2 linked regions of the Drosophila melanogaster genome follow. Each later gene encodes a partner of the first gene's protein in a complex. Each region holds a gene or a part of one and is shown on either strand. Other genes may lie near its edges.

What was found.
Region 2: HBS1 (region 1) and pelo share a complex: the UniProt entries of both Drosophila melanogaster proteins name them as parts of the pelota-HBS1L complex.

The regions. Positions count from the first base shown.
Region 1 is NT_037436.4:1,862,164-1,866,896, reverse strand, and holds HBS1 (HBS1), read left to right. Parts: upstream 1-1,656; 5' UTR 1,657-1,851; coding exon 1,852-3,864; 3' UTR 3,865-4,016; downstream 4,017-4,733. Other genes in the region: CG12025 (uncharacterized protein), read right to left, coding at 980-1,140. UniProt on the Drosophila melanogaster protein: GTPase component of the Pelota-HBS1L complex, a complex that recognizes stalled ribosomes and triggers the No-Go Decay (NGD) pathway.
Region 2 is NT_033779.5:9,698,844-9,703,985, forward strand, and holds the start of pelo (pelota), read left to right. Parts: upstream 1-1,966; 5' UTR 1,967-2,209; coding exon 2,210-2,250; intron 2,251-2,309; coding exon 2,310-3,031; intron 3,032-3,086; coding exon 3,087-3,279; intron 3,280-3,598; exon of another isoform or gene 3,599-4,238; coding exon of another isoform or gene 4,239-4,338; intron 4,339-4,424; coding exon of another isoform or gene 4,425-4,696; exon of another isoform or gene 4,697-4,762; intron 4,763-5,142. Other genes in the region: hoip (hoi-polloi), read left to right, coding at 1,092-1,094, 1,157-1,537; CG31710 (uncharacterized protein), read right to left, coding at 4,239-4,338, 4,425-4,696. UniProt on the Drosophila melanogaster protein: Component of the Pelota-HBS1L complex, a complex that recognizes stalled ribosomes and triggers the No-Go Decay (NGD) pathway.

The sequences.
Region 1 (4,733 bases):
TAAAGCTCAATTAGATAAAATAAACACATAATATTTGAATACACTAAATAGCATTTTTCAAGAGGCTTTTAAGATTATTTTTCGATTGCCTACAGAAGATTACTTGGCTTCTTCTAAAACAGGTTTTGTGGTTTATCGCGGTTTGGTGATGATTTCGTTAGATTTGGTCATAAGATAGCTAAGATAGCAGTCTACAAATTTGATTTGAGCGGTATTTGAGGCTTAAGCGCCCACTCGGCATTTCCACTTTGTTGAATGTGGACTTTAAGACCCTTATCAACCATTTGCGGGGTTATCGCGGGGTTGGATTGCCGCCAAAGGCGAGGCGCAATCAAATTCGCGTTTACCACTCGTTTATATTGGCAAGAGAAGCCCGACAAGTGCGAACTGCGATGAGCTGCTGGCTGGTTTCGGCTTGCTGGGCTGGCCAACTGGTTCCAGCTGACCGCAGGCGAAGGCCACCCCCCCCCCTCCTCCTCCTCCTCCTCCTCCTTCTCCTGCTCTTGATCCGCGCGAGAAACAGCAGAGACCCTTATGACGAAATTTATGCGCAATGATTTTTACAATTGAATGCCAAATTAGGCTGGACGTCTGCATTTATAATCCCCATAATTACACGTCGTTTCTGCAGTTGCGACACGCCATGCATGGCTAATGGGATGGAAGAAGGCATGGTATCCATCACGCACGCGCCGCTCGGCTAACTTATTCAGGTGCTTCCGGCGGGAATAAGGAAGTGGCCAGCCCGCAGAACACCAGATGCCCAGCTGGTCGAACGTACAATTGTACGATGTACACATAGTATAAACACAACAATAACCGGAATCACAGTCACAATGGGAATGGGAATGGAGCTCCTTGTTTGGCACACAGCGGCGGCCGCGGTGGCGACGAAAATGGTGCCAGTAATCGCTGCCCACGCAGGCAGATAGATCAAAGAAGACCTGTTTTCACCAGAGAACGAGCCTAGCCCACTCACTTGGGGTCCTGAATCCGGATGGAGACGTCTTCGGTGGAGCGACCTTGCTTGCCTCTCATGGGCGTGGATATCACGGTGGAGCCATAGACGCGTATCGCCTCGTCGGTCTCCTCCTCGAAGGCGTCGTGAATGGAGAAGCCCCTGGCCCCGTTGTTGTACATATTTTCTGGCTTGGATTCTCTGCGTTTTTCTTTCCCTGTTTCCGTTGCCCGTTGTTTAATAATAAACGAGTGCGCTGGAGATTCGGATTCGGGCTGCCAACGTTGGCTGCCAGCACGGCGGAAATCGGGGGAGATGCGGCTCCGACTTAGTGCTGCCCCGCCTGCATTTTCGGGCACTCCGTATTCGCAATGTTTTGCACTGATTTCTGCGCCCGTAACCGTGGAAAAAGTGTTTTTCTTTTCACATTAAAACGCGACACAAAGCAAAAAAATATTCAGACTCGCAGCAATGTGACCGTTCCTCGGGGGTGGTTAAATACTGTGTGGGGGTGGCTGCCAGCCTGCTTGGTATATTTAAGCACACATCATTGTTCACACAAGGCCGCATCAATTATGCTTAAACGGTTTCACACTTGCACCAATGTTGTTCCTTCTTTCGACCTTATAACATATTTGAAAAATGTGCAGATTTTAAAAATAACAAATTATTAGATTCTTATGTCAATTGATTGATACATGAAGCAAATCAGAACAGTCGCCTCTCCGCTAGTGGCAATACCTTCTAACCGTACTATTGTACTAAAAACTCCTGGTCAAAGTGCCGCAAAATACCAAACCTCTAAAAAGGCAGCCACACCTGCACGCACCTTTATTATTTTTGATGAAATTCTGACCCTGCTCCGTAAATTGTGAAATACAGAGTCCTCCAAAATGTCGCGGCACAGGATAGTGCGCACCATGGACTACAATGATGAGTACGACGGCTACGACGACATCTACGGGCACTCCGTGGAGGACGAGCACTGCATCTCGCCCACGGATGCCCAGCAATGGCTCTACGATCGGGCTCGTGGCCAGCAGAGCATCTCGGCGTTCATCAGCAAGAACAAGGACATCCAAGAGGAGGAGGCCGACGAGGATGAGGACGAGGACGCCGCCTTCGCCAAGGCTCGCCGCGACTCCGAGAGCTTCCAAATGCCGCAACTGGACGAGATCGAGCAGGCCAAGCTGAGCTCCTGCGTGGACGAGGTGCGCAGCGTGGTGGGCGATGCCGTCTCCGAGCGCCGCATCGTGGAGACATCCATGAAATTCGACTATGACATGCAGAAGATCCTGGACGAGATCCTCAACGAAGAGACCAACAAGTCTGCCAAGCCGGCTGTGAATAAGATGAAAGCGCCCGCTGCTCCAGTGCTGCCAAAGACGGTCAGCAAAACGGTGCCTACGCCACCACCCAAGATCAGCCTTAAAGAGCCGCGACGTGGCTTCGAAATACCCTCGCCCAAGGTGCCCTCATCGCCTGTGGTCTCGGGCAGAAACACACCCGTTGACATTAGCGCCGGCGACGACATCTCCCGTAGCTCAGCAACCGTTTTCAAGGTCTCCAAGGAACAGGCCGTGCGCAATGCCCGCCAGCTGTACGAGAAGGAGCGAGCCGACCAGAAGAGCCACATTCACATGATTGTCATTGGTCACGTCGACGCCGGGAAGAGTACGCTGATGGGCCATCTACTGTACGACACCGGCAACGTTTCGCAGCGAGTGATGCACAAGCACGAGCAGGAGTCCAAGAAGCTGGGCAAGCAGAGCTTCATGTATGCCTGGGTGCTGGACGAGACGGGCGAGGAGCGGGCCCGCGGCATCACCATGGACGTGGGCCAGTCGCGTATCGAAACCAAGACCAAGATCGTCACACTGCTGGATGCTCCGGGGCACAAGGACTTCATTCCGAACATGATCTCCGGTGCCACACAGGCGGATGTTGCCCTTCTGGTGGTGGATGCTACAAGGGGAGAGTTTGAATCCGGCTTTGAGCTCGGCGGACAGACTAGAGAGCACGCCATTCTAGTGCGATCCCTGGGGGTTAACCAGCTAGGCGTGGTCATCAACAAGCTGGACACCGTTGGCTGGTCCCAGGACCGATTCACAGAGATTGTGACCAAGCTAAAGTCCTTCCTCAAACTGGCGGGCTTCAAGGATTCCGATGTGAGTTTTACGCCCTGTTCCGGACTAACCGGCGAGAACCTCACCAAGAAAGCCCAGGAACCCGCCCTGACCAACTGGTACAGTGGACGCCACCTCCTCGATGTCATTGAGAACTTCAAGATCCCCGAAAGAGCCATCGACAGACCGCTGCGAATGTCCGTGTCGGACATTTACAAGGGCACTGGCTCCGGATTCTGCATCTCGGGACGAGTGGAAACCGGAGTGCTGTGCCTGAACGACAAGGTGCTGGTGGGTGCCAGCCGGGAGCAGGCCCAAGTGAAATCCCTTACCATGAACGAATTCCCACAGACTTGCGTGTTCGCCGGCGATCAGGTCTCCGTCACCCTGCCCGCCTTGGACATCAACAACGTCACCGTGGGCTGCATCATCAGCGATCCACAAACCCCTATTCCGGTGACAACGCGATTCCAGGCCCGCATAATCGTGTTCAACGTCAAGGTGCCCATTACCATGGGCTTCCCCGTGCTGCTGCACCACCAATCCCTAATAGAGCCCGCCGTGGTCTGCAAGCTGACCGCATCGATTCACAAGAGCACCGGCGAGGTGGTCAAGAAGAAGCCGCGTTGCCTGGGCAACAACTCGTGTGCCCTAGTGGAACTGGAAACCAGCAGACCCATCTGCATCGAGCGGTATGCGGACTTCAAGGAGCTGGGACGCGTGATGCTTCGCGTGGCGGGAGTCACCATTGCCGCCGGAATGGTCACCAAGATCCGCTAGGTCGATGACCGCGCTGGATTTTGTACGAAATTTTAGTTAGATATTAACTTTTGTTGATTTCCTAAATATACATAGTTTATATGAATTGATTAAATCGAAAAGACGCTGAAGCATTGGAAGAGATTTCGGTCTGACCATTTTAGCGGTATCTTAAAGTGGAGTGTGTTTTTCATGGAATTAATCACTTTAAGAAATTATTATATTTATTATCATTGAATTAATCATAAGGAATATAATTACAATTTATACATAAATTGCAATATCACGTTTTTGGAATATTATGACCCCTACAATAATATTCCAAAAACGTGATATTGCAATTTTTGTATAAATTGTAATTATTTTCCTTATGATAAATTCTATGATTCAAAACTGTATCTCGAAAATGTGAATATGCGGCTGACTAAAATTCTGAATGCGAATCATATTGCTGATTCATGAAACAATCAAGCATTAGAATTTTTTCTTAAACTATCGGCAACACAGCTTATATATTATTTGCAAATTATGCTTAAAAAATAAAATAGGAATACCATAAAATATCACTTACTGTAGAAAACAATTTCAATATGAAATCGTATTAACAAAATTAAAATTAAAAAAAAATATATAGGGAAAATAACAATTTAAATATTTCCAAAATTTGATGTGCTAATATAAATTTAAAAGAATCAAATATATTTCGAATATAAATTTTATAGTTTATTTTTAAAATTTACAGCAATGCTTTAAAAGTGTCATCGCTAAGCCATTGCGATAGTCGTGCGTAGCCCTCGGCCTGCGAGTGCCGATAGTGCCATCGATGCTTTGGCAGCCCTAGTCTTTGAGTGTTCGCTGTTCGCTGAGGGCGAAAAAGTAAAGAAATTACA
Region 2 (5,142 bases), on another chromosome or scaffold:
CTTCGCAGGCACTTTTCCACATTTCGCACACTTTAAATTAGTTAAATTGGCCTTTATTGCTCGGTGTGCTAAATTTTCGCCATTCGATTTGGGCATAAAAAAATCCCGTGGTTTAAACAAACACTATCGTACACGCATACACACTCAGCGCTCACCTAACACACACACACCAACATACACATACACAGATTGAATAATCGATTTTTTACATTCATTTCCTTTTTCTGAGTTTGTTTGACTTTGCTTTTCCATTTTCGCTGCGCGAAATTACCTTTTTGAAATTTACGACTACGATGCCAGCGATTTGTAAACACTTTCAGAAATATTGCCTCGACTTTCCGATCGATTTGATGCACTGTAGCTGTGGATTGATGGCTTAGATTAAAAATACCCGCATAGCCGCCGAACCGAGTTTTCCCGACCAAATCGTTCAAAGTTTTTTTTTCGACTGACGCGACTCGCGGATGCGCCCCAGCACGCAGGTGTGAGTAGGCCAGCGATAGGCAGCTCGCTCAGCGTGAACCGTGCGGCGCAATCATGAGTAATCCCTACTGCGCGGGTTCTATTCCGTCTGAAAATCTAAATGATCGGAAATAGCTAGCGGTTATCCAAAATTTTAATAAATAATTATAATAATATATAATTCGTAAGCTGTAAGGATTATTTTATTGTTATGTTTAAAGAGTTCTAAGCTGCATGAAAGATATAATTTTTAATAAAAATAGAGCACTTGTTTAATGAAACGTTGTATTATGAAGTAAGTTTAGATTCGATTTTACGAAATATTTTTAAATGGATTTCCTTTTTTATTTTATGAAATTCTATTTGGGAATTCCCTTAAATTATCAAAAGTATATTTAAGCTAGGGCTGCAGAGAACACAATTTCCGTTACGATTAGTATTGCCTAGATGGCAGTATGACCAGTCTTATTTGGTATTTCCGAACCACCTGCGAACGGTTTTCTAACGCTAACGCACGTGTTTGAAAGCGATTTCAATTGTTCTGCAATTGCCCTCAGTGAAGCAGCAAGCGGAGAGGTTGCATTTTAAAGCACTTTTTTCCAGTAAAAGTATACAATAAACAAGCCAATATGGTGAGTGCATCCACGTTAGCATCGAGAGATGTAAATTTCAACAAGTATCCCAATCTTTGCAGACTGAGGAAGTTAATCCCAAGGCATTCCCGCTGGCCGATGCCCAGCTTACCGCCAAGATCATGAACTTGCTGCAGCAAGCATTGAACTACAATCAACTGCGCAAGGGAGCCAACGAGGCCACCAAGACCCTCAATCGCGGACTGGCCGATATTGTGGTGCTGGCCGGTGATGCGGAGCCCATCGAGATTCTGCTCCATTTGCCGCTCCTGTGCGAGGACAAGAACGTGCCCTACGTCTTCGTTCGTTCCAAGCAGGCCTTGGGGCGTGCGTGCGGAGTTTCCCGGCCAATAGTCGCCTGCTCTGTGACCACCAACGAGGGCAGCCAGCTCAAGTCGCAGATCACCTCCATTCAGCAGGAGATCGAGCGACTGCTAGTCTAGTAACCCTTTAGATTTAAGTGAACATTCGTACAAAGTGGTAATTTCAAATTGAAATTTTGAATAAACATGTGTATTCTTTAATGCAATTGTTGTTTCCAACGCACATGGTTGGCTTGGAGTGCCCAATTTTTGGACACCGGATACCAATGCCGAAAAATACCAGAAAATACTAAACCAAAGGGGTCAGCTGGTATAGCCGGCAAAGTGCTGGCAAATAAATAAGCTAGTTTAATATAAGCTTATTTCATATAAATTATTGAACCAGACCAAAATGTACATGTGCATGTAGAATATTTATTTATAACTATAAGTTATTTATTCATAGAAATAGAAAAAAATCTGAATGGTAGCTTATGCAAACTACTTTAAGAAAGCCAATCCTGGCGGCAAAATAGCCAGTCGCACATCACCGTTCGCCCCTGGTGAATGTCACTTGGCCGCCGATTCTACTGACCACCACCATTGCCACACCATCCTGCCGATTCGATCAGCGGTGTGAACTTAGCAACTGCGTGAACCCAATGACAACGATGCACCGCCGCCTTTGTGAACGGAGGGAATTACTGGAATCTGGGTGCAAGTGACAAGCGGCTAGAGGAATCAAAGCACTCGGTATAAAGGCAGTGCCTGCCGACGAAACAAATACCAAATCCTGACCAGCAACGAGACGGGATGAAGCTGCTGGGCAAATACGTGGACAAGGGCATGCAGGGGTGAGTGAATATCCCCAGAGTCTTAAACTATTTTCGTTATGCCTCGAAAATTCTTTTAGAAATGTGACCCTGGTGCCGGAGGAGTCCGAGGATATGTGGCACGCCTACAATTTGATTGCGAAAGGCGACAGCGTGCGCAGCACCACTATTCGCAAGGTGCAGAATGAAACGGCTACTGGCTCCTCCACCAGCAGCCGGGTGCGCACCACACTAACCATCGCAGTGGAGAGCATAGATTTTGATACGCAGGCTTGTGTGCTCCGCCTTAAAGGCAGAAACATCGAGGAGAACCAGTATGTCAAGATGGGCGCCTATCACACCCTCGACCTGGAGCTGAATCGCAAGTTCGAGCTGCGTAAGCCGGAATGGGACACAATTGCCTTAGAGCGCATCGAAATGGCCTGCGATCCCACACAGTCTGCGGATGTAGCCGCCGTTGTGATGCAGGAGGGATTAGCACACGTCTGCCTGATCACCGCCAGTATGACCCTGGTGCGGAGCAAGATTGAGGTCTCCATACCGCGCAAGCGCAAGGGCAGTGTCCAGCAACACGAGAAGGGACTGGCCAAGTTCTACGAGCAGGTTATGCAGAGCATCCTGCGGCACGTCAACTTCGATGTGGTCAAGTGTGTGTTGATTGCGTCGCCGGGATTCGTGCGCGATCAGTTCTATGACTACATGTTCCAGCAGGCGGTCAAAATGGATTACAAGCTGCTGCTGGACAACAAGAGCAAGTTTATGCTGGTGCACGCATCCTCGGGATTTAAGCACTCCTTAAGAGGTGAGCCATTTACCCTTATGAAGAGATATGTTCTAAGTCAAATTCTTGCCTTCAGAAATTCTACAGGATCCCGCCGTGCTGGCCAAGATGTCTGACACCAAGGCAGCTGGCGAGGTCAAGGCCCTGGAACAATTCTACATGATGCTGCAATGTGAGCCCGCCAAGGCCTTCTATGGAAAGAAACATGTCCTCCAAGCCGCCGAGTCGCAGGCCATCGAAACGCTGCTGATCTCGGACAACCTCTTTAGGTGAGTTACACTTGGTTGAGCCAACGTATATATCTATGTATATTGAAGTAATTACTAGCTGGGCACACATTAAGCCCAATCAAGCGGGAGATCAAGAGCACGATCGCGAGTATAACTAGAAACCTTCAACTTGGCAAAATTGTGTGAGAGTGCTATGGCAATTGGTGTGCTTGTGTCGCCATATGGAACGCATGTCACCAGACTGCTTTGGGTGCCGGAAAGAATACAAATATTGGGGTAATTCAGAAAATCTGAAGAAGAGCAATCAATTTAATTACTGTATCGATTGTGCTTTAATTGATTTGCTATGCCTGCGACTGTGGTTTTCAATTTATTTATGTTTGTGTATAGAATTTATGTGTAGAATTTAGCTGAGAACGCGTTTGTTATTCTTTATTAAGAGAGAGTTTTTAACTTATTATACTACAACCTAATATATCGCAGTGATTTCACTCGTATGGCTTAGCACAGTATCTCCACAAGTGATAAGGTCTAGATTTGCTAGATCTGCCACTATGGACTTCCATAACCATTAGAAGATCGCAGATTCTTCCGCTGCGAATAGAGATCTGCTGCGATCGCACGCGTTTAGCCATTTAAAGAAAGCACGTTCGAGCATTAATTTGTTGGCCCCATAGCGACGTGCTCATGATCAAGGTTGCCCCAATGTCTCCTCACCATTTTTGGCTGCCAGCCTGTTTAGTTCTGTTCTGTTCTATTCACTACTCTTCTCCGCAATTTGTTTACACTTTAATGGGCCGATGAAATTCCATTCGAATATGTTTTTGTATGCTAACTGCGTGGCTGGCAATTAAATGAAAATTAAGTGCTATAGCTTTTTCTTTACTTAACATTTAATGTACTTAATGATCTAGGCAAAAGGTGTTTTATTTTAGCACTTTTAGTCAGTCCGCTTAGGTTGCTTCCCCCATAAGTATTCTTCCTCCTTCTTTTTAATCTCAGAAATTGTTTAAATCGCAGCTCGCCGCTATCGTTGTCGTCGTCGTCGTCGTCGTTGTTGCTCCGGACTGGGCTTTATCTCGACATTTTTGATTGCTGCTGATAGTTTGGCCATTGTGCAAATAGAAACAAGATGGGGAAATGTTGTTATGAAATGCTTTGTTTAAGTTTTCCATTTGCCTTACCGCCTTCGCTGCTGTTCATTGCACTGATTCTTTCTCAATTTCTGCTGGTATACGGGATCCTCTTCGAAATCTTCTCTGCTCCTCATCGTCAAGCGCTTGAAACAATCGTCCAACGTTTCCCTCAGTGGCAGCAGGCGATGTGGTGATGGCGGAGAACTGGGCATCTTTGTGTAGTCCAGCTTCTTGAGGGACTCGCACGCGGTCGAATCCGACCACTGATGGATGGGATGGCCCAGCTCGGAGATGGTGTAGTCGGGTTGTCTGGTGAGCATCTTGGATCCGCCTGATTTGACTCGATTTAATTCGACGGTGTTAAGTGGCCTGCACTTAAATAGGAACTGGAGTGGAAAGATATGTGCGTTAAGTAGTACAGTCAAGTGGAGTTGAGGTTCGGACAGATAATTCAACGATTCGAGTTTCTTTGCTTTCGTTTTATGATCATCAAATCGATAAATATATAAAAATCGACATATATTTGACTGGAATGTGATCAAGTTCCTCAAAATGTACTACACATATTTCGAATTAAAGTCACGTAAATGTATTTATTTTGAAATCATTTTATCATAATATGTGAATATTTATTTAAGTCACATAAAATGAAATCATGCAGTTCAAATTTTGTGACTACTATAAGCTGGAATTTTGCCGGCTACAACAAAAGTATTATCAGCAAATGATTGTGGAAAATATGTAGAGCATTTCTATGAATGTTTGT